Alligator mississippiensis: one gene and its partner. The protein of the gene in region 2 purifies or fractionates together with the protein of the main gene of each other region. This does not show direct contact. Links are inferred from orthologs where the notes say so. Each region holds a gene or a part of one and is shown on either strand. Other genes may lie near its edges. The genes, in order: PPP2R2C and SERTAD4.

What was found.
Region 1: the proteins of SERTAD4 (region 2) and PPP2R2C purify together in Homo sapiens (affinity purification with mass spectrometry; 3 studies listed by BioGRID and IntAct, counting the BioPlex papers as one, with this or other methods). This does not show direct contact. The link is inferred for Alligator mississippiensis from reciprocal best matches to the Homo sapiens genes SERTAD4 and PPP2R2C.

What each region holds. Positions count from the first base shown.
Region 1 is NC_081825.1:26,445,781-26,462,351, forward strand, and holds the start of PPP2R2C (protein phosphatase 2, regulatory subunit B, gamma), read left to right. Parts: upstream 1-10,152; 5' UTR 10,153-10,680; coding exon 10,681-10,750; intron 10,751-16,571. UniProt on the Homo sapiens protein: The B regulatory subunit might modulate substrate selectivity and catalytic activity, and might also direct the localization of the catalytic enzyme to a particular subcellular compartment.
Region 2 is NC_081824.1:191,538,246-191,554,906, forward strand, and holds SERTAD4 (SERTA domain-containing protein 4), read right to left. Parts: upstream 8,626-16,661; 5' UTR 8,544-8,625; coding exon 8,378-8,543; intron 7,325-8,377; coding exon 7,209-7,324; intron 3,312-7,208; coding exon 2,571-3,311; 3' UTR 211-2,570; downstream 1-210.

The DNA of each region.
Region 1 (16,571 bases), on a different chromosome or scaffold from region 2:
AAAATATAATTTGATCTAAAAGCTCAGAACCAATACTCCATTCTTGGGTTAGCCACCTTCAAACCCATCAATCATGTTCTACTTGAAATCTTGTCCCCTCTGGGTACCTGTGACGTTGTCATCTGGTGGTTTTCCTATTTGGAATTATGCCTTCATTGTATCTTTTGGCGAATCCTCCTCACCCCAGCTCCCCCTTTCTCTGCGATTCCACAAGGGTCCTAGCCTACATTCCCTTCTTCACTTTCTCTCTTGGTAATCTCATCCACAAATACAAATTCCTATTTATACTGTTTGTGTTTATACTGTTATTCCTATTTATGCTGCCAGCTCACAAATCTATAGCCTGGACCTGAATCCTCTTGTCCAATTTAATCTCATCCTGTCTGTATATCTCCTTGTTGATGTCTTGTTGTTATTTCAAGTGCTCTGGTTCTTAATTCTTCCCTGTACCTCTTTTCCTGATCATGGTGGACCCTGTTTGTCACTCTAACCTGTAATATAGATGTCAGCTTTGACTTGAACCCCTTTCTAGGTCCTCAGATCCAAACTATGGCTCAGTGTTGCTGATTCTTTCTGCATAACATCTCCAAGGTACGGCTTTTCTTGTCCATTCACGCCAAAAAATCTCATCCTCTTATGTCTCAACTATTGTCATATGTCTTTTCAGGCCTTTATAAATGCAATTTTGACTGGTTAATATTTATTCACAATGCTGCTGAAAAGATCACTTTCCTAGCCTGTTGCTTCAACCATGTTACCCATCTCTTTGTCCCTTTTTGGACTATTGCTCCCTGACATCACTCATTCTCCATTGACATATTGACTCCTGCCTTCAGTTGTTATATGAGGTTAGCCTCTATTGCCCACTTACCAGATTTTCAAACAAGCACCTTCATGCTTTCTCCCATACTCCTTAGAGCACTTGGGCATAGCTTTCCCTAAACATCAGAACACCTACTTGCTTACTTTCTTCCCAAATGCTCTTGTTTCATGATCCCAATTAAAAAAACCACCAAAACTTGACTATGGATTGTCTGGTTGGGTTCTAAGGCCTCTAATTCCTTGTGCTCTTCCCCCTGACATGCATTCATTTAAAGGCAGCATGGAATCTGATCCTGAATCCAATTACTGCTCCTTCTGCTTAACCTTAACTGATCAAAGTATGATGGATGCAAACTACTCAAATTGAAGTGGTGAGTGGAGACACACAAATTACTTGCAGACTGGGGTCATTTTTTTTTTGTAACTGACAAAAAAGACTTGCTTAACTCTGAGTGAGAACTGAAAGATCTCTAATCTAAATAAAATGCACCTGAAATTCAAGGGGACCCACTATGGTACAGTAATATAGAAATTTTAAACCCTGCTGATGGCTCACATTAGTCTCCCAACTCTCAACTGTTAGGACAGGAGACAAAGGTTCTTCTTGTAAACTGTAGAAGTCATGACTGAGTCACAGGAGTTCAGAGGCAATTACAAATAGAGTGATTTCCAAGTCTTAAATAAGAACTTTCATCTTGCTTTTGTGCTGATTTTTGGAATATGAAAAAATAATTTTAGCTATTTTTCTTTATTCCATATTCACACAGAATATGTTTGTCTTTTGTATTCTTTGGTTTCTAGTATGCTTGAGGATGTTGTGGATATGGATCCGTTATTTATATTCTTCTTGTGAGTATGTTCTGTTGTGGATCTGGATCCTTTATTTATATTCCTGTGCTGTGTAAGGAAGCTCAATCAGGGTACTTCACAGATACTGTAGGACATCTATTTTGAACACACAACTGCACAAACAGGAGACTATGAATTGTGCATCTAAAGTGAAATCCTGGCTCTGATAGGCAATGGCAAACACCTTATTGATTTCAGTGTGCCATCAGGATGGCGGTGGTGATGGTGGTGGGGGGGTTCTTGGTTTTTAAGCCATGCAAGCTACAGAGGTTGGACCACTGAGGTATAATCTTGAATGTCAATAGTTAGTTAGTTTCTCCCTCCTAATATGAAATTAAGAAACCTTTCACAAGTTTTCAGTGTGAAATGTCCACAAAATTTTTAGTGTCCACACCTGAGGACAGGCTAGTGATCCAGGCTGACTTGGATAAACTTAGTAAGTGGGTGAACACAAACCTGATGTTGTTCAATACCGATAAATGTAAGGTACTCCACCTCAGGGGAAAAAAAACCCACAGCATGCTTATAGGCTCGGCAGTGCTATGCTTGCTAGCACCATGGCTGAAAGAGACTTGGGGTTCATGGTTGACCACAAGATGAACATGAGCCACCAATGCGATGTCGCAGTTGGTAAAGCAAACCAAACCCTGGCTTGCATCTATAGATGCTTCTCAAGTAAATCTCAGGGTGTCATCCTCCTGCTGTACTCGGTCTTGGTGAGGCCGCAGCTGGAGTACTGCATCCAGTTCTGGACTCCACAATTCAAGAAAGATGTTGAGAAGCTTGAGAGAGTCCAGAGGACAGCCATGCACATGATCAGAGGGCAAGAGAATAGGCATTATGAAGAGAGGCTGAGAGCCATGGGACTCTCCAGCCTGGAAAAGTGCAGGCTCAGGGGGGACCTGGTGGCTGCTTATAAGTACATAAAGGGTGTACATCAGGATCTGGGAGAACGTCTGTTCACCAGAGTGCCCCAAGGAAAAACAAGGACCAATGGTCATAAAATCCTACAAGACTGTTTTAGGTTGGACATAAGAAAAAAATTCTTTTCTGTCCGAGCCCTCAAGACCTGGAACAGACTCCCTCCAGAAGTGGTGCAGGCACCTACTCTGACTCATTCAAGAAACGTTTGGATGCTTATCTTGCTGGGGTCCTTTGACCCTAGCTGACTTCCTGCCCTTTGGGCAGGGGGCTGGACTTGATGATCTTCGAGGTCCCTTCCAGCCCTAATGTCTCTGAAATCTACAGAAATGTCCATGATTTTTGCCACTGAGTTTTAGTGGAGCTGGGGTTTTATCCCCACTCATTTTGCCTGCAAAACAACAAATACAAGAATGAATGCAAACGAAAGGGGAGGAAGTACACCAGCTCTCTCAAAAAGTTTGAGTCTTTGATATAAAATCAGTTTGTTTACAGCATGTACATTCTGATTTTAAATGAATTATAGGTATAATTTCTATTTTGTTATATTTATAGGATCTGACATCTCCTCCGTGAGCTGTAACTAATATTGTCATCCAATATTTATGATGTGTTAGCTTCTTACAAATATAGAGAAAATTCAGAATTATAACCGGGCCTATATTATTCCTATTTTTGCCTTTCATCTTTAAAGAGCCTTACAAACTAGAAACACATGTAGCAAACAGGAAAAAGGAGCACTATAACAAGTTAAAGAAACAAAGGGAGAGAAATTAAGTGACTAGCCTTTGATGATAGCACAGGACAGTGCTAGAAGTAGACTTAACATCTGATGGTTATTGGATCCCAGGCATGGGTATCCCGCTTGCCTGTTGGTTTATCACTAGGTTCCTTCCTTTCACTCCCTCAGCAGGGTAAGATGACAGCTGGTAAAGGGCACTGGCAGGGGCAGTGCTAGGGGAAGGCTTGTGGGGTGGGGCCACCCCAAAATTTGCCTTAGTCCCCCCTGTAGCCACCCCTTCCAGTATCACCCCAGTCCAAGTCCCCTGCCTGCCCCACGCAGCTGTGGCTGCACTGCTTCCGCCCACAGAGGTGCGGTGCTCCTGGCTTGGGCCAGCCTGCGGGACCCACGTCCCACCTTTGTTTTGCAGAGCCTCCACAATTTTCTGTCTAGCTCAGTGTTTCCCAACCTCTTCCAGCCCAAGGCACACTTACATTAATAAAATGTTTCCACAGCACCCCTGTTAAGGCATTCTCCATCCTCATACCTATTGTAGCTCATTGCCATGGCAACATTCCACAGCACACGTGTTCATTTACTATGGCACACTTTTATGCCATAGCATACTGGTTGGGAAACACTGGTCTAGCCCACCTCAGCCCCCACACCAGGAAGATGCTGGTGCTGCCCTGGGCACTGGGATCCAATTCAACAGCCAGCCAGTCGAGCGTTCCATAGTTCCCAATGCACGGGACAAGGAGGTGGTACGGCGAAATCGGAGAAGAGATGGGCGTGTGGGGAGGGGGGTGTGAGAAAGAGTAGGACTGGGTCTGCAGGCTGGCAGTGGAGAGACAAGCAGCTTTAGAGCTGGGACTGGAAGGTGGACAGATGGACTGAGATAAATCTCATTGCTAGAAGAAAGTCAGCAGTAACCACTGTTCCAACCCTGCAGCCCCAGAAACTGGCACAAGAAGCAAGGGAAAGTTTCTGCTTTTATACAGAAAATCATAGGGGTTAGGGTCACAAGCTAAAGGACCAAAGGGAAGGAACAGGTAAAAGGTAAAGAAAAATCAACACTGTAGTAACATATGCAACTCTTCTGCCAAGCATTGGTCAGCAGTAACAAGGGCTGGGTTCAATTTTGAGATGCTAAATATATTTTATGTTGGTTCGAGCCCCCACCTAGACCACCTGGGAAACACTAAATGAATTACTAGGGTGTCTCGCATAAACAAACCCCCCTCCTCGCAAACAGTATAAACACAAACATCCACATTTATTACGTAGAAAGAACAAAACAAAAGAAAACATTAAATATAATTTAAAAACACCATTACTAAAAGCAAAGCCTCTTGGGGGAGGCTTCACCCAGACCCAGGCAGCCTGGGATTTGGGCTCCCCGTACCTGCCCGTCAGCAATGGGCTGGAGAGGGGGCCCATACTGCTCCTGGGGTTCACTGTGCCACAGGGAGCTGCTTGAGGGTGGGGGTCCTTCTGCATTGCAAGGGGCTCCGTTGCTCCTGGAGACATGGTACAGCGCCGACTCCACTTTTACATGGCGGCTTTGAGGGGTTAACTCTGGTTTTCTTCAGCATTACTGCACCCCGAAATTCCTAGTCCCAATCCCAGTTTTGCTGGGCAGAAAAATGGAAAAGGGCTCAAAGGTAAAAGGTCAGGCCTATCTTGCTGGGCCTGAACTGGGCAGCAAAAGTTGGCCAGGCTTATAGTGCACCAAAGCCTGGATAAACTAGTAGGGTCAGATCTCACCCTGGCTCAGACTGCGCCAGGCTTTACCCTGGCCCAAATCTACCAGCCAAACATATAGTTGAGGTTCAGCTGCCCAGCTAGGCTGAAATGCAGTAGCTGTGAAACAGCAAAAAGGGCTCAGGCCTATGGCTGAAGCCTGGATATCCAGTTTCAGCTATACGTATCACAATGCTGAGACACTACAATTCCCAAACGCAGGCCAGTAACTGCCACGACCCATTCCTGGGCAGTTTGCTCCAGGGATTAATACCCCCATGGCATTAACCCATTTAGGGGAAAAAGGGGTGACGGGAAGGGAGGAAATAGGAGTCTCAAACTCCGAGACAGACTTTTTCTCCCTGAGGCTTTCCTGTCCCACACATAGCTTTTGCTTGCCTCTCCAGTGAAGAGGGGGGAGACCCCCCCCCACCAGGGAGCAGGTTTTCTGGCTCTCACTTCAGCTGTGCGGCTCTCAGCACCCCCAGGAGAAAGAGAGAGTGACCCTCAGTGAGTGGTGTGACACCACCCAAGCCTTGTTCAATTAGGGACTCCCACAGCCCAGCTTCTCTCTTGCTCATCTTCCTGGAGGACCTTCTGTTTTAGGCCAGAAGGTTTTACATATTTTGCCCAGATACAGACCCCAGCTTGCCAGATGCTGAGCACATGGCCAGAGCAACAGGGGCCATCTTGCCCACATACAACACCCCCCCTGGCCCCCATGGTGTGGGTGTGGGTGTTACACACATGGAACTCCCAGAAACCCACAGGGACTGGGGCCGGGTGGGGGAGCAAGGGAAAAGAAGAAGTTTGAGGCTGGATTAAGGGGAAGAGAGAGCGGAGTGTACGTGGAGCCTGGTCAGCCCGACGCAGAGGAGTGTGCAGTGGGGTTGGAGATCTCAACCAGGGCTGTGGATTGAAGCAGCTGGACTCAGACTTGGGGGGAGCTGCAGTCTGATTGGCTGATTGTAATATTTGGTTCTGCTGTGCCCCTGTTTAATCAATGAAAAAGGTGAAGTATCTGTCTAAATTTAATTTGGACCTTAATTTCATTCAGCACCTTAATTTCCCTCCTCCTCTAGAGGTGTCCCCAGACAAGCCTTTAGTCTCTAGAGCACTCAAACTGCAGACTGCAGCGGCCCCCAAGTCTGAGTCCAGCTTCTTCAATTCACAGCCCTGGCTGAGGTCTCCAACCCCACTGCACACTCCTCTGCGTAGGGCTGACCAGGCTCCACGTACACTCTGCTCTCTCTTCCCCTTATTCCAGCCTCAAACTTCTTCTTTTTTTTTCCTTGCCTCCCCACGCCCCTGTGGGTTTCTGGGAGTTGCAATCCAAATGAACAGATTGTTCTGCAGCTCTGCAGACTGCCCCCTGGTTCCACCTGCTGTTACACACATTACATTCACATTACCACAGCAGGAGCTACAGCAAAGCAGCTTGCAGGAAAGGGCGGCATGAGAGGGTTGCATTAAAAGTTAGCCTTGCATCTCTGTACTGGAGTGCCTGCTAAGGACAGGGCTTGAAACTGTTGGTTTTGAACTGATCGATAACTGTTAAAGTAGTTGTGCCTAGTGTATTGCTGCAGGGATGTAGGTTCTAGCCGTGTTGATCTAAGGTCATAAGCAGATAATGTTCTTTGGGTAAATTTGATATCTTTACCTAAAGAACCTTGTCTGCCTAGTCTACTTGCTAGCATTTCTTCTTCAGTATCAGCCTCATGCCCCTGGCTGCCTCCTGCTGTTTCCCAAGCCCAGTGCACTGCAGAGGGAGTGTAGGCACCTAATTGCAGGCACGCACTCCACTCTGGGAATCATAGAATCATAGAAAATTAGGGATGGAAGTGACGTCAGGAGGTCACCCCCCTAGTCCATCCCCCCGTTCAAAGCAGCACCATCCCCAGCTAGATCATTCCAGCAGGGGCTTTGTCAAGCTGGGCCTTAGAAACCTCCAAGGATGGAGATTCCATCACCTCTCGAGGTAACCCATTCCAGTGCTTCACCACCCTCCTAGTGAGAGAGTTTTTCCTAATATTCAACTAAAACCTCCCTTGCTGCAACCTGAGACCACTGCTCCTTGTTCTGTCATCTGTCACCACTGAAAACAGCCTATTTCCATCCTCTTTCGAACTACCCTTCAGGTAGTTAAAGGCTGTCACTAAATCCCCTCCCCGTCTTCTCTTATGAATGCTAAATAAGCCCAGTTCCCTTAGCTTCTCCTCAGAAGTCATGTGCCCCAGCCCTCAAATCATCTTCATTGCCTTCTGCTGGACTCTCTTCAACTTGTCCATGTCCTTTCTATAGTGGGGGCCCAAAACTAGACACCGTACTCCAGATGTGGCTTCACCAGTGCAGAATAGAACAAAATAATTACTTCCCTCAATCTGCTGCTAATGCTCCCACTAATGCATCCCAGTATGCTGTTAGCCTTCTTGACAACAAGGACACACTGGTGATTCATATCCAGCTTATTATCCACTGTATCCCCCAGGTCCTTTTCTGCAGAGCTGCTGCCCAGCCAGTCAGCCCCCAGTACTGTACTGGTGCATGGGATTGTTCCGTCCTAAGTACAGGACTTTGTACTTGTTTTGCTGGGCAGAAAAATGGAAACCTTGTTGAACTTCATGAGATTTCTTTTGGCCCAGTCCTCCAATTTGTCTAGGTCACTCTGAATCCTAGCCCTACCCTCTAGTGTATCTACTACTACCCACAGCTTGGTGTCGTCTCCAACTTGCTGAGCGTGCACTCCATCACATCTTCCAGGTCATTGATGAAGACATTGAACAAAACTGGCCCTAGGACCAACTCCTAGGGCACTCCTCTTGGTACCAGCTGCCAACTAGACATTGAGCTGTTGATTACTACTCACTGAGCCCAACAATCCAGCTAGGTTTCTACGCACCTTACAGTCCATTCATTCAACCCATACTTTCTCGCAAGAATGCTGTAGATGGTATCAACAGCTGTGGCTGTTCCTGCTGGGTTTGGCCCATGCACTTGAGGTGTGAGGCTATGGCGCTGGAAGTGGGGGTTGGGGCCCCCCTCCGTTGCCTCACTTGCAGCACTGCTGCCACCGCCTGGCCTGAGCACAGCCCAATTTGGAGCAGCTTCGCGGGAACAGCCCACAGCCTGTCCGCTCCACCCTGTGGGCAGATCCAGGGGCACATGTCCCCCATAACCCTCCTGGGCTGCGTGCTCTCCCTCCCTGCACCCCCAAGATGAACTGCTTGTGGCTCTGTCCCCTGTCCCACACCAACTGTACAGGGCCTGCTCCTGCTTCAGCCCTGCTACCTACCTCATAGCTGCAGCCACTGGCGCTGCCCAACGTTTGGGGGGGCACATACCCCCTCCCATCTGTGTGCAGTGGAGGCAGCTCCCTCTGGGGGCTGGACTTTGTGCCTCAAGCCCCACTACACCTGTCCCCTGGGCCTCCGCCCCTTCCCTGCCCCACAGACTGAACTGCTGGACTGAGGGAGGCACATGTGGGCATGCACGCACTAGCTCAGCCCCCGCCAACCACAAGATCTATCACTGATGTAGACTGTCACAACTCTAGTACTTTTAACCATGTGAATATCTGGGATCAACTTAAAAAATTCTGGGTTCTGGGATCAACTTAAAAAATATTTATGTGGCGTGGTATTTATTAAAGATATTTTAAATACAGAAATAACATGTCAGGCATGCCCACTATGAAGCTTAGTTTATCTAGTAAAAAAGTGAAAAATATTATATATAGCTATTGTGGATAGCTAAGATTCAAGTTGCAAATTTCTTCCACCTTGCAGGGAAGCATTCTGTTGCTCCCGTATCTGTGTGTTAAGGTTAAATGTTCATTCAGCCTGACTGGTTGGCTGATTGTAATATTTGGTTCTGCTCTGCCCCTGTTTAATCAATGAAAAAGGGGAAGTATCTGTCTAAATTTCATTTACTTAACACTGGAATCCCTAGAAAGTGATGATTAATATTGTCTACTGTAGCGATTCTGGTGTCATACATAGCATTACACTTTCTGTTTGCTTATGTAGCGTTCAAGTAAAATTAAGCATGTGACAGACCTTACTGAATTTATCTTTAATAACCAAAGTATTAGATTCATTTTCAAAAAAGGAGCTGAGATCTGGAGATCTGGCATGACACACCCAATGCTGCACAAGTTGTCTGTGTCAGGTGCTGGAAACTAAACTCAGATGTCTCAAATTTAAATCCAGTGCATAAAATGCAAGATCATTCTTTTCTCCCTTAATTGCTTACTGACCAATATTTCCTTTTCTTACCCCAGTGGTGGCTTAATATTGATGCACAGAGTGCTTTCATTACTTAAAAAAATCACCCTCTTTTTAAAGCAAACACTAGTACAGTTTAGGTCTTAGTTTGGAGAAATGGCAATATTTTCCCCAAAGCTTGGGAACCACGCTGGCCCATTCCATTAAAAGAGTTTAGTAGCATAGACCTTTAAAACTGCATTTCCTTGAAAGGTTTTGGCAAAAGGGCAACCTTCATTTTACAGTGCAGAGGAATATATTTTTCTTTCCTTGGCTTCCCAAGGGGCTCGTGCTCTACATTCCTTTCTCGGGGTGGGGGATAATGCAGTGAACAAAAATAGTAAGGAACTCCCACCCTATATATAACCTGCAAGCACAGCCTGTATCCACCTTCCCCTGCTGGTTCAGTCTGTCTGCTGTGAAACCTGAGATTTTTTTCTCTCTTTTTGCTGCTTATTCCTTTATATGTCCTAATTTGCTTTTTAGCTACAGAACTAGAGCAAGCAAAGGCTGTGCTCTAATATATTCTTAAGATCTCCTCATTTCTTAACCGGTCCTTTTTCATAGGCAGCTTTTGGGCAGTTTCATTAGTGCTCATTCAAACTGACATTGAACGACTGTTGCTTTTGCTGCTTATGGCAGTATTGACCAGCACCAAATTGTAGCTTCACGCTACTGTGGAATGTGTGTCAATGCAAACCCATTTAAGTTAAGCAGCCTGAAGTTTTTTTCCTCTCTCTTCCCTTAAATCTTCTGTTGCCCAGCTTGCCAGCAGAAGAGCTCAAATAATTACCTGCAGTCTCATTTTTCACTTTACTACATGCAGATCTTGTGTGGTTGGGCAGAGAGGCTGGCTGGGAGGGGCCTGCTCTGATGCAGCAGAGGCATATGACAGCAGTAGCAGCAACAGCAATCACAGAGCTTCACCAGGCAGCTTTTGCTGCAGTCCGCTGATTGCCACTTTCTTCCAGGCAGCGAGATTCCACCGCAGCGAGCCCTTGGAGCAGACTCCGCATGGGAGCTTGTTTAAGGAGTACCTGACTAAACAATTGGGTTATTCTTTACCTGCAGGAGAAGTGCCTGTCTTCTCTTTACACAGGTCCCCTGCTGTGGCTTCCCCCCCTCCCATCATTAATTTATTGGAGCTATTTTCCTCCCTTCTTCTTTTTTTCTTTATTACTGTTCTCATTATTCACTTCCCAAATCTGTGCTGCATCACCAGCTCTCATGATGCTGTGCTCAGGAGCCCAGTGTGTTCCCCGCCTCTGCTAGGCAGTGGCAGCATGGATGGTGCTCTTGTGACGACCTCTGCTGATGCTATCAGTCCACTGCGGATAGGCATGCTGAGTAATCCTGCTGTCAATGGGCGAGGACACGGACACACGGAAAATTAACCACAGCTTTCTGCGAGACCACAACTATGTGACTGAAGGTAACATGAACATTGTGTTTATTCTCTTCTGCTCTTTGCCTGTCTGCCTGGGCTCTGCAAGGAATGCACTGTCATGTTGGGATGTGTAAGAAAATGCATTTTCCTGTGTAACAGAAGCAGAGTCCGTTTGGATTTGCTGGCACCCAGGTGTATTTTGTCACACTGCCACACTGTGCTGAACTGCCTGGGCTGGAGAAGGGATTGCATTGGGATCAGGGTGTGCTAGCGAGGTGTGCAGCACCCAGCTTGACTTGCCTCCGAGATGCACTGCAACAGATCAGAGGCGAGGATGGTTTAAAAAAAGATAGACTGTGCTGCTTTAAGCTAGGAGCTGTAATGTGTAAAGTTAACTGTTTTGCTGGTGTCATGAAGGTTATGCATCTCATTTTGGCAATAATAGCAGCCTGATCACCACAGAAATTGCTGAGTTGGTTGTTCCCTGGAGGACAGTATAAACCTAGAAGGAATATGTATGCATGGTCTTTGGAATACTGCGGTGGCTTCCTCCCATCCTCTAAAGACCTGCAAGGGATAAGAGGAAAGAAATTAGACCTGCAGATTGAGTCTTTAAATGGCTGGTGGCTTGTTATATAAAAAAGGAGGTCCTGGCAGGTGACACACGTTTTACATTAGGAGAAGTTACCTGTCAGCCATGTAAATGTAACTGGTCAGGGGACTGAAGAGCTCTATGCTTCATTGTTGAAAAGTTGTTTTAAAAATAGGTCATCCTAAGACTGAATGAACAGAAGAAATGTTTTGTGTGTGGCTGATTCCCAAGCATGTATGCTAAGTATTAACAGTGCAGTGTTTTAGAAGCAGGAAATGATAGAAGCAGTATTTTAAATGTCGTCTTACATAATACGAACATACAACATCAGGGTCGACCAATACTGCTTGAGCCTGAATCTCCAGATTGTGTCGTCATTCGATTAGTGTTCAGCCACCTAACGTTCTCCTGCCGCATCCTGAAATTTGATCAGTTGATTATTGATGATTTGAATTTTTTAGGAAGCAAGAAACAGCAGGCTTATTTAGCTGCACTAGGCATGCAAAGCTGATTTTTTCAGAGGGGAAATTGCAAATACTATGCTTGCTGTCTATAAGCAATGCCATTGGTCAGTATAATCATTTGGTAATCTTGCCTCTAGGGTATTCTTTGCTTTCTGGTTCTTGTTTTTGTCCATTTTTTTGGTTCATGTTTTTATTGTCTGCAATGTGTTGTCTGTTTTCTTTCCTTTATCTTGAGGTATAATTACTTGAAATAACATCCAAAGAAACTTTATGTCTTAAATGTCATGCCAAGGACTGCAAAGATGTGCTGCATGACTACTGCAGTATACTGCATGCTGAGGTTGTGATGCATATGTGTGGTACTATAGGAGCCTTTTGTTAAAATGGTGACTCTGCAAATGCCTACCAGTTTTTTTAAAATAAAGACATTATCTCTTTTGGCTTTAGTATAACATTGTACTTTTAAATTGCGTGCTGCAATAAGTGAGGATTTTAGAAATTGTACAGTGATGTTTAGTCAGCATTGCTGTGTGCTCTGCTGACTCACTCGTTGGCTGGAGCACGCTTTAGCTTCACGTGATATTCAGAGCAGAAGCTACTGATACTCTTCCATGGGTGCTGCATGGGGACTGACCTACCCAAATCAGATCAGAAAAGACTCTGAATAGAAATGTCAGCTTTTCCTTATGAGAAGTCATGTTACCAAAAGTCTTGCTTAAACTGCACTGTTGTGTGTGGCTTTGACAGGTGAAACAGGATATTTTATATAGTAAAGTGTTGCTTTGGGGGCTGTTCCTCATTTTACGTATTTTACGGAGAAAGGGCAAAATGGTCAGCATCAGTCCAGCTGTTCACCTCTTCTACATCTCAGAGATCACTGATCAGTTGTATTAAGCAGAGAATGAGCTTTTCTTTTTTTGTGAAACTCATCACACTCCTGGGGACACCTTCAGTTTTCCACTCCTTTAAACACTACTATTTCTAATGTGTCACTAATGTAATTCGGCTTAAAAGATACACAGGTGTTTATATTGTTGTTGTTGTTTTTTTTAACTTAAAATAAGTTCTTCCTCACTGAAATAAGCTTACAACTTTTTCCTTCATAAAGCTTTCAGTGGGACATAACTTGTCCCGTTTTTTCCTACTATATGCCAGGTTTAAGCACAAGTTGGCTAATACAGACTACTGAGACAGAAAAATATAATTTGCCCTGATTATATTTTTTGGCAAATAATACTATTTTATAATAAAACAAATTTGGTTTTGGCTCTCTGGCCTGGTATTAGTACAACTGTTTTATTATTCACCCTCTGACACTAAAATAGACTGAAACAGAGGTTTTATGTTTTACTAGTTTCAAAACAAAAAATAAATTCTTGGCATTTTACTCAGAAGATCTGAAAAATACTGATTGCTTTGAGTTCACAGCTAGCTTCTTTTTTCTCTCTTATACTTAAACATTTAAAATTGCTTTAAGGGACTTCTTCAAATTTTCTTTTCTATGCATGTTGCTCCATGCAGCAAACTACATTTGTTTTCGACAAGGAAGTCCTTCTGACCTTTGTATGCACTTTTCCATCTCTTTTCTTTGGAGAAAAGAAGGCCACTGCACTCAAGAGGACATCAGTAGTTATCTGTAATAATGTTTGACTTCCTTCCCTATTTCAGTGATGAATATCAGTATTGATGTAAATGACCAGGTTACACCCAAATTTATACTGTATGTTATGATGATGGGACAAATCTGGTTCACTTCACTTATGCTAGCAGACCAGTTGATTTCAATGGAACTACTTGAATGAGTAAAACCAATAGGATTTGGTCCTTTATTTTGTCTACATTTTTTATTCCTACATCATTTTTTAAGTGCCTTGATTTATACAAGTATGTTATTTTATTCCTTTGAAGTTTTTTGTCCAAACAATGAATTGCCCTTGTTTTTAGAAATTGGGCCATTTTTATAGCAGCTTATTGGGTTTGGTTGGGGTTCTTTTATAACTGTAACTTTGGTTTTGATCCTAACATGGTTCATTCAGGTTTTGGGTGAAGTCATTGAATTTGCAACAAGTTTGCATTTGGCCCATTTGTTCATTTTTGCTTCTAAAAATAGTTTATACCGTAAGTGGTTTAAAAACAACACAAATTCAGATAGTGACGGCAACATATTTTTGCAAAGTTGTTGCCTTTAATAAGTGGTGTGTTTTAGAAATTCTGAAGGTGAACTGAATTAGTGAACTATGTTTTTTTCAGTACAATCTCTGCTTTTTTATCCTGCACTGTGGGAACTGCAGGAGTTCATTTTAAGCACAGAATACTTTCCTAGCCACTGAGAAAATGTGCTGTAAACATAGCACCCACAGAACAATGTAAAGCAGAGAATAATGATGCAAAGAGAAGAGATGGTATAACATGGAAAGGAATAAGGGGCAGTATATTAGTGCCAATATATATAAAGACAACTTGAGTAGGAAGAAGAATACCATTTTCTGAAATAGAGAAATGGTGAAGCACCAAGAGGGAAGGAATGAGTGAGGAGCAAATGTTGAGTGCTCTTGGGCTAGGGACAGACATTCAAAAAGCTGGAGCCTGAATTGATTCAATCTTTGCAGGTTAGTCTAACCTGTATAGATTGAACTAATTTGCAAGTGAATAGACATTCTCTTTTGATTCTGGGAAAGCAGTCACATGCCTGCGGTGGCTCAGGCTAGAAGCTGGGGGGCACTAGAACGAGCCCTCCCTTTCCTTCCTTTCAGAAGCAGCTGCTGGGCATGCCTGGAGGGCAAGGGAGGAAGCAGCCCTTGCAAGGATTGTCCTGAGGCCAGACACTGGCCAGGGCAGTGGCTCAGGCTAAGGGGATGTGGGGTTTAAACTCCCCAGTCTCCATGCAGGCACAGGATCCCTGCTGGGTTCCCCCTGCTTCTGCTTGGGTGGTGGGAGGGCCGGCCAGAGCCGGCCAGCATGGCCCTCCTATCCACCTGGGGCTGGGGCTGTGGCTGCAGCTGTGGAGCTGAGCCGAGTTGGGCTGCGGGTGCTGCTGAGAGCAGACACGGAGGGCCCTTCCCAGCTGTGTCTCAGGATGGGGCCATGGCGGCTGCGCAGCCAGATTGCTCCCCTGCTCCCAGACCAGGTGGGGCTGTCATGAAGCCACAGCAGTGGCTGCGGCTCTGTGACAGCCTGGCCCAGCAGCACACATTTGGGCTGGCTGGGTAGCGGGCTGCCTGGGTGGCTTGGAGGTGCCAGTGGGCCCCGAACCTGGAAGCTGCTGTCTGCAGCTGCTGCTGCACCCCCTGTTCTGTGCAGCACCCGGCGGCTGCCCCCACATCACAAGCTGTGGGCTGGCTGGACTGTTCTGTTCCCCTCACCTCCAGATGCGGCTCCTGCCGCCCTGTGCAGTACTGCTCAGGGTAGGGGGAGCCCCGCAGCTAGCGCCCATGTCGCTGTGGCTCCAGCTGCCTTCCATCCCCTCTGCCCTCCCAGCGTGATGAGCAGACCCTGCGGATGGAAGGCAGCCAGAGCTAGAGCTGGAGCTCCATGCGCTGGGCAGCAACTGCTGGGCTGAAGCTTCTCTTTCGCCCACCCAGAGTGGTGCGGCAGGGGTGGAAGCAGCAGTGGCCGTGGCAGTGGCAGTTAGAGGCGAGAGGGGCAGAACAGGCTGCCTGGCCCACGCTAATCTGCAGCATGTGGTGCGGCTGCAGCTGCCAGGTGCTGCACAGGACCGAGGGGATGACGGCAGCTGTGGCAGGTGGCTGCCAGGCTCGGGGCCCACCAGCGCCTCCCAGGCAGCCTGCTGCCTGGCCAGCCCGTGCCCGTGTTGCCAGACTGGGCTGTCACGGAGCTGCAGTTGCTGCTGCGGCTCCATGACAGCCCTGCCTGGCCTGGGCTAGGGGAGCTGGGACCAATCCGGCCGTGCAGCCCCCATGGCCCTAGTCTGAGCTGCAGCCCGCTGGGAAGGGCCCGGCCCCCATGGCCCAGCCCGGGCTGGTACCTCCACATCCACTCTGCAGCACCTTAGGCTGGCTCAGCTCAGCTCCAGCCCCAGCCCCAGCCTGGAGCTGAGCAAAGGGGTGGGGCCAGCTCTGCTGTCTGGAGCAGACAGCCCAGCCCAGCCCACGGCTGAAATGCATGCTGGGATGCTGAGGGACTCTGGATTAATTTAAACTAGGAAGGGGTCTGGGACAGAAGTTGCATCAACTGATTTGACCCAAATCAGTTAAGTATGATACTACTTTCAACCAGGCGTATCTTAAACCAGTTTCAGACATTTTGAAACTGGTTTATGGTCACTGAACTTATGTTCTGTTACAGGTTTAAACCAGTTTCAGATCACTTAAACTAGTTTATGTGTAACTTCTGTCCCTAGCTGAACAGGAGCAGGAATATCCTTCTTTTTCCCTAGGATAGTGCTCAAATAGGACGTTAACTATGACTGTAGTTACACATTTTTGTGACAAAAAAATAAAGATCATTAATGATAAAATATAAGGAGCTGGCACAAGGAAATAAAAAAAGAAGAGAAAGTGCTAGGGAGGCATCTAGAAAGGATCAGAAAGGAAGGAAGGAAGAAGAGGTGGTCTTAATGTAGCAAGGTATTTAAATATACTGTATGCCTACTGTTAAGCATGTTAATGGTCCCTCTAACCCTACTGGGATCATCATTTGCTTAAAGTGAGTTTGATCAATACAACAGTTCCAGTAGAAACCATGAGATTAGCCTAATGCTTACATTTGGGCATATGCTTATGCAAGCAGCTGAATTGGGAGCCAGATGGATGAAAGAAAAGGAAAACATTTAGAACTGTGACTTGTTATA
Region 2 (16,661 bases):
AAATGCCCAGCTTACACCTCAAACATATCTGCTACATTTTTCAGCATATCTTAAAATTGTGCTTCAGAGTACAGCTTAGAACTCGGTGTTGGTCCATACCTGTGGTACAAGAAGCTCTTTTAATGTAAACCTCTGCAGTACAGGAACACGTTCCAAATTTATTTGGGAGACGAAAAAGGAAAAAAATGGATCCAGTAGCCATTAGAGGTATAAAATTAAAATGAATTTTGGTCATTTTAATAAATATATATCAAGGAAACCTCACTTTACTACAACAAAACATTAGTATACAAGCATCTAATATTTAAGCTGAAAACATCAAATGTTTATCAAAGACTGAAAAAAAAAGCAGACGTTACTAGACTATCTGGGTATAACACAAGAAAATCAGCTTTTAAAAAATTGGTCCTTGTGGACAAATGCATAAATTATGATCCTACTCATACACTGTATGAATGAGATCTATGCTTAATATTATTATTAATAATAAAAAAGCTTCCCTCTTGGAGAAATCAGGTGGGCTCCATTCTTTGTTGCCAAATTCCTATTCCAATTATAACCCTTACAAAGTTGCCAGTTTCATGTTACAGTCTAAATAAAAGCTATCTGAGACTTTCCCCCCCCATCACTTCCCATGCATCCTATAGGGAATATTGCAAAGGGTGAGGTTGCTTTAACTGGCAAGCTTTTAAGGGTGGCTGCTGTACTTATCAGTGAAAGATGCCCTAAAGCCTTGACTCCGGAGCACTGCTGTTACTTGCCATTAAAAGTAATAATGTCAGGGGAGAATTAAGACAGTGTCCTTGGAATCCAGGGTGGACAATCTACTAAAGGCCCAGTACAGTGATGAATTAGAGCCTGACTCAGTGCCGCTAAAATCCACAGGTGCTTTCCTGCTGGTTTCAGTGAGAGCTGGAATTCATTCTAGTGGACCACTCTCAAGTCCCTTGTCTGCCTTACTGCAACTGATCTGGTCCCAAGCACATGGATGAATTGCATCCATGTAAAAAGTGGGAAGCATGATTACAGCTAATTGTTTCTAGGGCAAGACCAATGTGAAAGAGATACAGTTTGGATTTGCAATGTCCCCAAGCACAAACAGAAAGTAATTAGGCATCATGTGTGACTTGGATTTCACTGTTACACACAGCACTTCCTGCCAGTTGTTGGGGGGGGGGGGAGGCTGTGGGAACCCCAAAATGTGGTGGATCCAGGACATACAATATTCTTAGCACACCCCTGAACACCATATTAAGCATGGTTGCAAAAATGTGCATTTGAAAATGGTATAACCAAAAATGACTGCATTTTGCCCCTAACCATTGAAACCTCCACCCATTTCTCCAAAATAATCTTTTTTTTTTTTTTTTTTTAAGTAAAACCCATACATTCATTTCAGATAAAATTTTATCGCCACGTCATTTATTAACATTGTGCTCTTTGTTCTGCTTGTCTTTTAAAAATCAACAGCAAAAGTCATATAAAACCCCTGCATGCTTTTGCAATCTAAAAGAGAGAAATTATGCGAAACAGAATAAAGTATAAAACATGCCACTGGTTCATGAACTTCATTATACAAAAAGAGCCTCTGCAACAGACAGTTGCCATAGAAATGCTCAAGCATCTAATGCTTGTTTACAAGAGACATCTCTCTATTGTTTCTTAAATCCCTTCCTAAGGATGGCAAATCAAAAAGCAATCGAGCATCAAAAAGGAAGAATATAGATGTTTCAATAGGAAGTTCAACTTGATATTTCAAAGGCTACAGATTTTTAATAAAATTGATCCACCCTGGTTTTCTTTTCTGTTTAGGTTAAGTCCCTGCTGTAGCTCTGATTTTATACTTAATTTTCACACTGGAAAAAATTAAGGTAACAAAATAAGGCACAAAAAATATCTGCCCTGTATAACAACAAACCACCATACACCTCATTACTGATTGCAGCTGAGCTGAAAACATGAAGGTGATTGTGCTGTATGTGGTGTTTCTGATTAAGATCCAATGAACAGGTATTTCATTATGTTACATCCTGGCTTTTGTCAGTTGAATAAGAATGAATACAGGAATTTAACTGTGTCAGTATGAGTACGTAGAGTTAATTCCCCAACCACCATAACCAGTGTTTCCTCACAATGAATATTGTCTTACAAGAAGCAGACCACCCTTGTTGGTAATATCAATTCGTTTACCAAACATCTAATTAATTGGTAAGCATAATGGGGGTTCCTTTTAATTAATGGTAGACTTCTTGAGGGAGGGGATATATAAAAGGGTATGTTTTCCCCAGCTGGTTTGTTGGTATTTTCAGTAACAAAAGCTAAACTATAATTGTAAGCAATAATTCAACTGTGCTCTTTATGAAGTCTCCATATTTATAAATAGCTCACTGATGTTGATCATACAGATGCTTTAGGCAATCTGCTCTCCAGTCATTTAAAACTATACGCATAATGTTTGTGGCATGATTGTATCAGTTGTACAAAACTATAAAAAATCCATTCAAAATACAATTTTGATAGATAACTGAACATGCCGTGCATGCGTCAAAGTTACAGCAAAAAAGGGTGTCTCATATTTTACTTCCTTTGCTGCAGCACATTTTGTTACTTGGTAAAGATTCCTTTTTCCTCAAGGATTTTTTCCAAGATTCACTTATGTTGCTCTTGTCATTAGATCCAGTCTCAAAATAATCATAAAATTTGCCTTTACATTCAAGAGCAAGGTCGCCTTTCATCGGTTCACAGTTTAGAGTGACACCATCTCGTTCAGTTTCATTACCTCCTTTCTCATCATTTAATTTTGCCTTTTCCTGATTACCATGAGACCTGGCATTAGTAATGAATATTTCATTGGCAAGTATATGGTCATCACTCCTGTAAACAGGGGCATTGCCAATGCCATAATCCACCTGTTGGGAACAACTTGGCAAAGAGATAGGGGAGGAGGAGGAAGAGGAGGAGGAAGAATTTTCCCCATTAGTATTAACAGAGAATGGCAAATTTAAATAGTGACTGCCACACTCTTGATAAAAGCAGCATGTATGGAACTTTTCACATTCCTCTTTTGCCATCCGGAGACGTTTTCTATAGGGACAGTCTTGTGACATGAACCATTCTTGTGCTGAGGTGCTGCCAAAAGAGCAAGCAGAGAAGCACCAGTTGTTTTGCATGATAATTTCTCCATGGATTCTCTTCATTAAATTGTTTATAAGGACAGATCTCCGCAGGTAGACTTCAGGATCATCAATAAATTTTAATTTTTCCAAAGACATGTAGAGAATATGGGCCCGCTCCTCAAAAACTGAGATTGTCTGAAAACGGAGACACAAAAGACAGAAAAGAATGAGCCAATTTCACTTCATGCAGTTACAGAATTAAGCACTTTATTGACAGTGTACAAATTCACTGTTTTACACTTTGGGTGGGCCAGAGTTCCCAAGTGATCTCAACCTGGGCTACGAGGTTTGTATATCCATATATTCCAAGGCCCAATTGTTGGTAGCCAGATCTCCTGACCAGCATCTGAACTGAAAAAATAAAAGACTAAGCATTCTGTATGTGTAAGCAAGCATACACAAATCCAGGTTTTTGAGTGACCAAACACTAGTTGTAAAAATCTGACTCTTTATTTTCTGTATGCGTAACCTCCATTTGTAATTCCCCTGCATTGATATACTGATAATGTATGGAGGGTTTTTTTGTTAACAGAGCGGAACCTATGCACTGCTGGATTTCTCCAGTGCTAAAATGAAAGGTGGATTCTCGCTATATGGCCATCACAACAAGGACTATCTAAAGTTAAACAAGGCTCAGTCAACAGCCAGTTCACATGCCAGAAGTGACTGAGCAATTAAACAGGCTCTTGCAATGAGGAGTCTCCATTAACCAAATTCTTACAGTGCAATTGTATACAAAAATGTGTGTAGTGACCAAAAAAGCAATCCAAAAGGATTGTAGCATCTGGATTGCAGCTGTTGGGCTGAGTGATACACCCAGCCATCCGTGGGACTAGTGGGAACATATATAGGCAGGGACGAAGTCAGGAAACTAAAAAGGATGGGATTTGTAAAAAAACCCTGGCTCTAAGCCCACAAATTTGTTCCCTTTTCCCTGCTTCTTTGTAGGCCTTCCTTCTCAGGAGTGGTAGCATGAACAGGTTACTACTCCCAGGAGACCATGGTTTCTTCGCCATAATCCTTACCCTGGGAATCAAAGTACAGAGGGGTAGTATCTGCTACTATAAGCAGCATTAACTAATTTCCATTTTTAGAACAGGAAAATTTGCGTAGGAGGAAAGAAACACATCACAAAGAGCCTGCTCTCATTTTCCCCATCTGCAGCCTGGTCATTCCTCCTTTTCCCATGTGGCTTCAGAATTTTTGCAGTGGGAAATGGTGGCTATAAGGGACAGGAGAGCTTGCTACACAGCTACTTTTCAGTAGTACTCAGTACCCATACACCATGTAGTATTTTCCACAGCCTGCTGCTGTCTGCCCTGCACAGACCAGTAGAAGCACAGTTCATTTCAGAAGCCAAAATTAGCACTATTTTTCAAATAAGTTCACAACCAGAACTTTCTTCTCTGGTGTAATAATTTTCTACAATACATTTCTAGCTTTAACTTAAATTAACTCCATAGGTTAACCAGAGTCCTTTATGCCCTGCTGTAGAAATAATCCATTAGCTCATTAAAGACTTCACCAAAGAGACAAGCCTTGCACTGTGACCTGAAAAGCACTAGACCTGTGCCATGAAAGACCACCAGTAGAAGCAAGTTCCAAAGCACTACAGTGTGAATGCTCTGCCACCCAGATCCTACTGCAGCACCAACTGAACAGGTCACACGCACGGTGACTAGACAAAAGGGAAAAGGAAGTCTGAGAACATGCCTCTTTCTTAGTCCATATGAATGGGGGAAAAGAGGAGTATAAACATATGTGAGCAATTCAAGTAAGCCTGGGGGAAATATCTCCCTTTGTCTCTCCCCCTAGCAGTAAGGTTGCAAATTAGAAAATTTACTTGTGCTTGAAAGAATAAACTGGTGACCTCAGATTTCCTACGATACGTTTTTGCAATAGCAACAGAACAATAACATAAAACAGACTTACTGTGGAACTCAATGCCTATATCTGGTCTTCAATTTAATCCCTCCCTCCCTCCCTCCCTCCTCCCCACAAAAAAAAATTGTCTGCCCCTTTCCAACAAAAACGTGTTCATTATGGGGAGGGAGGGAAGTAGACAAGGAGGTGAAAAACCACAAGGACAAAAGAAATGGTGGCAATTAGAGGCTTTTAAAAATATGCTATATGCAAGCACATTTTTTAGTAGAGCTAGTATATTGTATAGACTGAGTGACAGAGTGAACTGGGTAAGTACTAATAGGATAGGCTTCCATCTCTAGGTCAATAAATTACTAGAACCAATGCCATCAGTAACTGAAAACTGGTACTCTGTGATTGGTGTTCTCAGATTTCTGAAGGGATCTTGTAATTGTTCCACACCAAAGGTACATAACAAGCATTACTTTTAGACTGCCCTAATCAAGGTTAGGGCAATCTAAATGCCCCAGGGCTCAAGCATGCACAGGGCTTAAGTCACCCTAGAAATGGCGTGCCCCAATCTAGAATTAGTTCTGGTCTGAGGTGAATTAACTTTAGATTGGCAGAGTGTTAATCCAGCCTAGCGAGGTTTAACTCAGTCTAGTGAATGCTTGTATGTGTTCACAGCACAGGCCCAGGGCTAGGCAAGTCCAGCCACTCTCCACAGCCTCAGGGTGTGCTGTTTTAATGCCCCACTACTCCACACCCCTAACTCTGACCAACACCGCCTTGCCTCCCCCTGGGACCAGGCAGCCTCCTCCCCTCCCTCCCACCACAGACCTGTCAACTTATCACAGACCCACCAACTTCCCTTGGACCCAAAAGCCCAGGACCTGAGCCACCAGCCCCTCTTGTACAAGCCTACTAGGCTCCTACCACCTCCTCCCAGCAAGCAGTGAATACTTGCATGCACTGCTCCTGATTCAGCTTTAGGTGGCTTAAATTAAGCTGCCTAAACCTGAGCTAGATCCTACAAATGCTTGTTCACATCTAAGTGAATATCTGTCCACGGGACTTTCCACCACAACTATCAACCTTCTCCTTTCAGGTCTGAGGTTGTCAGCAAATATGAACAAGATAAACTACCTTCTCATTCCTGCAGGTTACCCCTCCAAGTAAAAGCTGAATACTATATTGCTGAGCTATATTGCAAGGCAGTGTGGGAAACTTACTGTCCTTGCTTTAATCATTTTGTAGCTGGAGACAGGACTTCAGTCTCCAGGGCTGTCAGAATAGCACCTGTTAAAGGCACTCATTTAGAGATTTTGAAAATAAAATACACTGGTGGAGGGCTTATCTATCTTTCAGATATGACATCTCTGTCTCTACATATCTCTAATGTAGCACAGCCACAGAAACCAGAAATGATTCTGCCAGGTGGAGATCACCCCTTGAAGTTTCAGGATGCCTTCCAGAACAAAACTGAGGATGCTCTATCGTCTATACTATGCATGTTTTGAACCCTTAATGAGAAGGACCATAAGCAGTTTTCTAAATCTTTCATGTAACATCAGATTTTAATTAATGTTGTCACAAACCTGGGAAATGTTATCTAGAACCCCACTTTTGCCCGTGTTTAAGAAATATAAAAATATGCTGTTTGATCTTTAAAGCTCATCTTTTGAATAAGAAAAAACATTGGAGCAGAATATACTTTCCTTAAGTGATTCTGCTTTTATGTTAGGCCAGTATACCCATGCAGAACCTACCCTGAAACTCAATGATGAATGAATGAATTAATGAACAAATGGGAGATTATAGGGTCTTTTTTTTTTTTTAAACATACTTAGTGAATTTTAGCAGGCAAACTAGACAGGTGCCCCGCTCCCCACATGAACATAGTGGAATTGTTTATGAATACATTTATATGGGAAAAGGAAGTGATTCAGAGTATTTATCTTTTCTGTTATCCTCATTGAAGGAACTGCTTTGTTTCTTAAACTATTTGATGACAATAAATAACACAATTAGGCCAAAAATGTGTCAACTGTTTGTTTTTATACAAACAGCTGGATCGTTGTCACCATTTTGGTAGAGTATTTCTGCTTCAAGCAAGTATTACTAAGCATCTAAATCTCTTAGTAAAAATAATGATTATTAAAAACATACTTTATGTGTACAGCTGCTGAGTGGTGGATGAAAATCCTCTTCTTCCACATATTTCCTTTTAAAGTATGTGATCTTGGATGTTGTTATAGGATTTGAAATTCCCCTGTAATGTGAGCCTGTGGGTAATAAATCAGATATGACAAATGACATGCGGCTTGCCGGAGGTTCTCCAAACAAAATACTTTTCATTTTCCTACTCGCTGCAGGATATCGCCACCACGTATCTTTACATATTTGTTGCGATCAAAAACAAAAACTTCTACCTTACTAACAAATAACTCCTTAGATGTGTCAGTATGGGCGGCCGAAGGTCATGCTAACAGCACTGGAAACTGATGCGTCTGGTATATATAGACATTCTCATACATTTTGGTTTAGAAAAACTTGCATTCCCACTTTTCCAGCTAGTCAGGCAAAGAGCTGCGTTCCTCAGTGTCTCGCGTTCAGATGCCGGGGGCCCGAGTTAAAAGAAGTTTTACATTGCGACACTGAAATAAATTTCACGCAACCGTAATAAATTCGGTCGTGGACAATCTTTCTGTTTCAGGCAGCTTTTATTTCCCAGGAGGGGGAGAACCAGAAAGGAACTTGTGAAATGACAAGGGCGAGAGGATGTGCTCCAGTAAATGAACAGGAGCAGCTTTTAACTACCTCATGTGGCAAAGCGGGGGGGAAAAATGTAACACGTCTGCATGGAGCATTATATTTTACAGCAGCACCCGTCATTACTTCCTACCTTCACCTGGCATGCCCGGCGGTCAGCAAGACCTGCGCTGAGCTGGGTAACAATCCAGACCGTCTCACCCTCCCTGGCACCCTTCTTCCCAAGCCCCCCTGGCTCATTAAAAACCCACCCCTGGGGCAGCCGGAGCCCTAGGGCAGTTAAGAAACTGGGGCTGGCTGCCCGCCTGCGTGCCAAGCAGGGCTCTGTGCACCCTAAGAGCCACGGAGCGGAGCATGGGGCTGCTGAAGCCCCTGCCTGGCAGTGCCCGCAGAGGGGGGCAGTGGCTTTGCTGCCACCTGTCTTTGCATCCCCTCCCCAGGCCTGCCGGGCTGGCTGGTGCCAAGGGGCCCCCAAGCAGCCCCCTCCTCACACTGCCCAGGGGGCTTCTTGTTTTGACTGTGCAAGCAACCCCCCTCCACCCCGTGGCCCCGAGCTGGGCGCGTACCTGGCAGGGGCTGGCAGGGCGCCCCGCCCGCGGGCTGCGGGGCCGGGCCGGGCTCCGCGGCGCTGGCCTTGCTGCAACAGTGCGGCTCCCACAGGGGCTGGGGGAAGGCGGCTCCGTCCGAGACAATGGGCTCGCAGAACCTGTTCATGGGCAGCACCAGGGTCATGGCTGCCCGCCGCCGCCGCCGACCTGCAAGGAAACAGCGCGGCTCAGCGCCCCGCGCCGCCGCCGCCGCCGCCGCCTATCCCGGGATGAGCCCCCGCCCCGCGGATGCGAGCCCGCCCCTCGCAAACAAACCGCGGAGCCGAGCAGGGGGGATCCCAGCGGCTCTCGCAGATGGCAGCGGCTCGGCTCAGGCGTGTGTGTGTGTGGGAGTGGAGGGAGCGGGATCGGCTTTCTGCCCCCCCAACCCCGGTGGCAAGCGCCGCTCCCGCCGGCCCCGGCCGGGCTGCCTCCAGTCACAACACAGCGAGATGAAGGCAGAGCCCGGCTCCGGTTTCAAGCCGCGAGCGGCGGTCCCCGCGGAGCCGAGCGCGACCGCGGGCTGCTGAGACACGGGAGCGGGGAGGACGCAAACTTTGGGGGGTGCGGGGCCCCGCAAACAGGAGGTAGAAGCCGCCCCGGCGTGGTGCGGCGGGAGCGGGGCCGGGGTGAAGGGCACAAGGTGAAGCGCGCACACGGAGGAGGCGAGGCGAGGCGCTCCGCGCCGGAGCAAGGGAGGGAGAGAGCAAGCCTTGGCATCTGGCTTTCTCTCCTTTCCACCTGAAGGACACCGCCGAGCGAGAGGGGTTTATCCCCGGGACCTTGTGGCCCTGCCCTCGAGCGGGAAGCGGGAGTTCCGGGGCAGCGCGGCGGGAGGGCTGGCCGCAGGGGGCGAGCATCATCCGCCGGCTGCTGCGCTGCCCCTCCTAAGCGACTGCTGGCTCGCTTGGAACGGGCTTAGGAACAGGGAAACACCACGCACGCAGTCCTCTCCGCCCGCTTTCTAATGGAGCAGGCACTTAAGGCTGCTTTTCCTGGGAAGGGAGAGAATGGTGTGGGCAGTTATGGCCCATGGCCTATCCTCTTAGTACGAATCATTCATCCTATTCATTTCATCTCGTATATCATGACATCCCCTGTATCATATATATTGTATCACAACAGATCACGTATTGCATCATGTGTCAAATCATATGTTGTATGATGCATCATATCTCACATAGCATGACATATCCTATATCAGATCGTGTATCATGCATCATATCATGTATTGCAGGATGTATCACCATGTCATATTATATCATATATCTTATATATCGTGACGTATCCTATATCATACCATATATTGCATGATGTATTATATCATATCGTATCTCATATAGCATACCATATCCTATATCATATATATCACATATGGCATCATATCATATATTGTATTGTATCATGTCATATATATATGGTATGATGCATCATGTCATATATCTCATCTCTCATGACATCCTATATCCTATCATATATTGCATGAGGTATATCATGTCATATTAGATCATATCATAGCCCACAATAGCATGGCATATCCTATGTCATATCATATACCGTATCATATATTTCACATATGACATCATATATATTGTATCATGCATCATATATATTGTATGATGTATCATGTCATATCATAGCATCTTATATCTCATGACATATCCTATATCATATCATATATTGCATGATGCATTATATCATGTCATATTATATCATATCATAGCTCATATAGCATATCCTTTATCATATCCTATACTGTGGAGTCCCCTGTGGCTCAGTGGTAGACTCCTTGTCTACCACACACAGGAGACCTGGATTTGATTCCCAGACACATACGATTACAACCATGAAGGCACCAAACATCTGGTCTTTGGATTCTGTCTCAGTGGCCTCAAAGGAGGATGGAAGGTCTGGGCAGCCTCTACTCCTCCAAAAATTCCTGCCCAGGCATATGCATCAAAGGCATACACCATGATCCAGGAGGATCAATGGTTGCCACTATCATATCATATATTGTATCATGTACATCATACCATATATTATATCAAATCCCCTGTATCTTCTATACTTCATCATTAGAGTGCCCCCTATATGACCAATCTGGTCACAACTGAATGTCTCAGTCTCATCCAGGACTGAGAACTAGCTAGAAATTAAATATTTTGTACCTAAAGAGATTACACCGTCACTGGAGAGCTCTCCTGCACTGATCTACTTCTCATTAACCTCCTCTGAGGAGTCATTCACAGCTAGATATCAATCTCCTGATGCTGGCATGATGTCAAGATTTAGCATTTGTCCTTAGAGAATACGGGTTGTAAGAGACCCCTCTGCTGCTGTGGGGAAGTCAGGATTTCTTCATATTTAATGAATTCTTATAAATCAGCATATCCTTTGTAGATATTTTTATTAGGATAATATATGGCAAAAAAAAGTTTCCAGTCTTGCAGTTTTTTTTCCCCCATACTATTTCATTTCAAAGTCTTTTTATGTTTCATCAGAGAGAAAAGACATGGAAAGAAGAACATGTTGGGATGCTTTCTGCACAGTTTGGCAGAACAGCAGCAAATTCATCTTGAAAACTACAGTTTTGCAGACAGCTTTTAAAGTAAATTAACTGTTCATGCTATTAACTATATGCTAAATTAATAGAGGCAAGTTGGTTGTCTTTTATAAATAGTTACTGTCCATGAGCAACATCTATCCTCCATACCATTTTCTAATAAAATAAGAACAAAAACAAATAGTCCATATAGTCCACAACCAATATTTTTATCTGTAGATCTCAGAATACTTTAGAAAGATGGCTAAGTGTCACAAACTAATGTTGCATAGAAATAACTAAAGGTCACAAAGGCTGAAGCCCAAATTTTCAAAACAATCCTCCCATTGGAGAAAGGGCTTCCAGTCACCTGGGTCTTGGTTTTCAGAAGCACTGATTTCTCTCATCTCCAAAATCCTTTGAAGGGTGTTATGAGTACTCAGCATTTCTGAAAATGTGTGAAGTCAAGTATCCAGAAACTGAAACATGCAAAATCAGAGTCTACTTCTCAGTGTTTTTGCCAATTTTACTCTGTTCATTCACAATAAGCAGTAGCTTACTCTACAAAGCAGGATTTAAGTGCATCTCCTTCCAGGTTCAGAAAATATTTACCTTGGTTAAAGTTGGCAGAATATATTTCTAAGTGATTTGCCAGTGGTCACACAGCAAGTAAGTGGCAAAACTAGAAATGGTACCCAGGTCTCCTTGCTTGTTAATCACAACCCCTGCCCCAAATCCACTGATATCCCATTGTTATAGGGCAAGGGTTCTCAACCCCCATGCCATGGGCTAGATTCCCCCCTGGCACTATGTCATCCAGCTCACAGGACTCCCTAGGGTTCTGTGAGGAGTCTCATGCATGCTAGATCAGATACAGAAGATGAATGAGGGCACAACCTCAGCTGGACAGGGGTGGTGTGGGACCTCCAGGACCCGATCTCAGGCAGGGGGAGGCAGCACGGGGCCGGATTAAGCCCACAGACCAGCCCTGTGCCACTCATCTGGCCCGCTGGGACAAAACTGTGAGCACCACTGTTAAGGCAATATAAGGACTCTGTCCAAAATCCCACTGATTTCAATGAAACTTTATAGAACAGCATATGCATTGTTACACTTCTATTAACACCACTTGATACAAAAGATGAAAGGGTATGTTTGAGTGCACTGTACAAAATTGCAGCAAGAGGCTGATACTTAGGACTGGATTCAATTTTTAAAAATCCATTTGGGGGCCGTGTGTGGGAATTGGTGGCATGGAACCCAGTCAAAATTTTTTATTGAACCCAGACCTTAATCTTTAGGCTACCACAGTTTTTCCACTTTGCCAGCCAAATGCAAGCAGTAGAAGGACACCCTGAGGCATCTACAGCAGCCTGAAGGTTAAAATGTTAAACTTTGTCTGTATGCAGTTGCACACAGTAAGACTACTATACATTGCTACTCTATTCCACTTGCTGGGATTTTCACTCACTATTCCTCCAGAGCCATTATGATGTTAATGAGAGAACTGTAATGATGCCATTCACATTATAACAAGCCTGATGCAATGTCAATGAAAAGGGCTTTTTATACAGTTCTAGAATGCCTCTCAAAACAGAACTTAAATATAAAATGCTTGTTACAATAATGCTGCAGGTCCTGCTAAGATCAATAAAGACACAAAAATAGACTTAAAGTAGCTACTCCATTCTTAACTCCTGAGCTTGTATAAAGTAGTGCTGAGGTCTCACTATTTACCATATATTCTGTACTAATTCTATAGTACAACAGTATGATTTAAGGTCAGGATGACATTGTTAATGATGCATCTCCTTGCTTTTGTTAGTCATACTAAGCCATTGTTCATGCATGTGCTCAAAAATAGCAAGAACTTCATCGGCTGTAGCTTAGTGTTACTATTTAATATGTCCATTGCAGTAGCATCCAGAAGTCTTATTTTGTTAGACACTTTACAAGCACCTCCAAAGTAACAGCCCTGCCTAGAGGTGCTTGCAGCTTCAGAACACGTGCCATCCAAACATTGGGGGAGAGGCAATCAAATACAAGTGATGTTGTATATACACCTATTTTGTACAAAATTAGAAATAAGGGGTAAACTGTCCTCATGTTCAGCTGGGCCGTTATTAATTGCTGCAACAAGCATTGCAGCAACAGCAGGTCATGGAGGAAGGAGCAGAAGTTGAAGGAGACATCCCCAAGTGTAATGGCAGTATGGTATGAAAAGGTCTTAAAAGAGGTTTTAAATTATCTTACTACCTGTGCTTGAAAAGATCAGACAGAGGGATGCGAGTCCAAACATGAGGAAGTTGTTCTATCCAGGACGGGAGCTTATCATGACCTACATGCAAATTTTCATTGGTGGAAAAAAACAATAAGGACATACCTTAGAAATGTTGTGGATAAAGCAGCACAGTTTGGACACAATCTACACTCAGCAAAAGAAAGTGAGGAGTAAAAGAGGATCTCTAAATAAAGGGCTGGGGGATGGGGAGAATGTTGATATTGTCAGCAGTGACAGAAATTTGGTCCGGTAGAGAGAATTAGGTTTGGGTTAGGGGAAATTTAATCTGATTTCCAGGACATGAAGTCAGAGAGGTAAGATGAGATACAGGAGTGGATGGAGAGAGAGACAGTGGAAAATCTGTTATACCTGCTCTTTACATTAATGAAATATAGTGGTACCACAACTATACAGCATGTTTAAAAACACAGATGCAGAGACATTCCTTGCATGGGCCAACCTTCAATCAAACACAAAAAGCACAACAAAAATGCATAGAGCAGAATGTTAGACAAGAGCTGAGGTGAAGGAGGGTGCAAGGTTCATGGATAAGGAGAAGAGAAAAGTTTACTGAATAAGTTAATTTGAAGGAAGAGTGTAAAGTGCTGGACAGAAAAAGAGGAGAGTGAGACTGAATGAACCACAGTTTCAGCCTGATAAAAAGTATGACACTGAGATGAGAACACAGAGGTAAAGTAAAAAGTAAAGTGAAAGAACTGGGAAAATAGCAAAGGGTAGGAAGGGAAATGGGAGCAAGGATGTGGGTGGGAGTAAGATTATGCAGGGCCTCATTGTTCATCCATTCAAGTACATTTTGTACTGGAAATGCAGATACCACTATTGATCTGCAAACATATGCATGTTGTGACAGCAATGAAAGGGTTAAGTCAAGACTGAAATAACTAGACTAACCTAGACTGGTAGAACAACAGGTTTACATGCCAACAGGGTCAATTCAGCTCTTCATCCTTCTGAGGCAGATAGACTGCAGGCTTGCCAAGTCTAGTGTTTTTCCCTGTAGTTTTTGGCCCTCGCATCAGGGAAACTCAAGCAAACCACTGGTTTTTCTGATGCTGGACACAGCTCAGAGCAAAGGGAATTTACATGAAATCAGAGTGTGATTTGTGTGTTAAGAAATAGCCTTGGCAGGGAAATGTTTTAGTTATCCTTTGCTTCTCTGACTTCTCTCTTAATTTAAATGATCCACATCTACGTGTTCCAGGCTCGCTCTCAAGATATAATCTTAAGCAAGTATGTCACCCACTTTTTTCATGTCCAGATGCCTTGAATTTTTTCATTTCATCCTTTTCCCACTGGAATGCTGCAATTACAGCTTCTTGAGGTTACCTTTTTGGGATTCCCTGAAGCTACTGGGAATGTTCCCTGATCTTTGGAATGCTCTTTTTGGATTTTTGGCTTTCCAGTGTCAGACCTTAATTTCTTGTTACCATTTCTTTTGAAAACACCAGAACAGAATGGTTTTAAATGGCTTAACATCCAACATTTCCCTGTGATATTCTAGGGTTAATTAAGTGATAATTAAGTACTACTAACAGGCATGCCTCCCCCTCCATCTATTACTTGTCATCATAAATAGAATTCAAATAAAATGGCAAAATGGGGTTTTAATTATTTCTTTAGTGTTTGGTTTTTAAATGCAGTACATGACTCTAACAAGTCTTCTGGAATTCTATAAACACACCTAAATTTCTCCCCTGGAATTCATTACAGCTAACTTTTAAATGGAAAGGCATGTCTTCATTATAGTTTGCACTTCAATTTATGAGAATATGAAAAATATTTAAAAGTTTGTAACCTATTTCTCATTGGAAGATTTAGGTAGATATGAAACTGGGTTCTAAAATGTTTACAGTGTACAATTTTTTTCCAGGTGAAAGCTTGAGAGGTCCTGCCTGTTCTGTGAGAATAATACAAGTCCAGAGGGTATCTTCAAGTAAGAGAAGAAGATACTTCTAGTGTTCTGAGCCATATCACTGGCAGCTGCATAAATCCTCCAAAAGTACAGAATGCCATCCTGTATCCATTTAAATCAATTAAAGTTTAGCTTGGAGAATACTGACATCCTGGAGATGAAAGGGGCTCCAGTTACTATAGGCTGCCACCGATGATGTTTCCTAGATAGTTAACTTTTCAGCTGTCTTTTGAAGTTGAACACATAGTGGATATGATTACTGTGTCTGGTATAATAGAAAGAAAAGTGGTCAAGCAAGTCAAGGTGGGTTGGCAAGGCAAAAGCAGCTTTAGATGAGAAAGTTCCAAAATCATAAGGTGGCACTCGTTATTCATACTTTAAAAAAAGCACCAATTAAAATTGCCTACCCAGTTAACTTTTCACTCCAGTGGAGCAGTACACGGATGTCACTGGCACCATAAATTAGATGTTTTATGGGGTTAATTACATTGCCTTGTTCACTTTTGTCCGCTGAAGAAAGTAAACAAAACAAATTAAAAAAAAGAAAAGAAAAGTGTTTTGGAACAAAGAGCGAGTTGTCTTCCATTTGACTGTGCTACTTTCCGTGAAGAATAAGAGCTATTATTATTCTTTTACAAGTTTCCTTCTAAGGGAAATCAACACCAAAGGTAGGATTCCAAGGAAATGACTCACAAAAATTGGCAACAGACTCCGAAAATTGGATCCAGTCTTTGCAAAGCAAGCCTGTCGCAGAATCCTTACCCCTGTCCTTTCAAAATAAACTTTTCAAATACAAGACGAACATCAGCTGTGTGTGTGTAAGAAAATGAAGCCAGGAATAGGACCCATTTTTCACATTTCCCCCCTTCCCCGTCTCTTTTTCCTCCAGGGCACTGATTGTGATGCCATTTTTAGTAGGGAGTTGGAATTTTTTTAATGATGGATTGAGTCATCCCTCGAAAGAAAACAGAAATGGGAATGAGCCTCACTTGCTCCTGCCTGGGCACTTCAGCTGGGCCCTGCGGTCCAGGGAAGACGGGTCTAGAATGGAACGGCTCTGAGCAGCATCAATACATCAGCATAAGGTGTACTGGGGAGCAAGGGAGAGGGCGTCTGGAGCCTTTGGATTGTGTGTCCCTCCGTGCTTTCACCTCAGCTCTTCAGCTTTTCCACCCTTTCCGAGTGGGGGGGTGGGAAGGAGGGGGCTGGGCACCATGCACAGACATGGCACGGTGCCCAGCCCGACAGAACCCCAGGGCACCTCACAACTCAAGCCTGGCTTCTGCCCCCATGGCAGCATATCAGCAGCACTAGCAGCACAGGGGCAAGTTGTCCCTGCACCCCACTTGTCTATGTGTAGATGTTTCCATAGTCTCTAGCAAAGGGCTCATGCTGTACCTGGAGCAAAGGACCAATCACCCCCGAAAGCCTCAGGACCACATAGCATAGTCAGGGATGGATCTAGGATTTGGAAAAGTGGGGCTGACTGGGGCACAAGTGTGCTTCA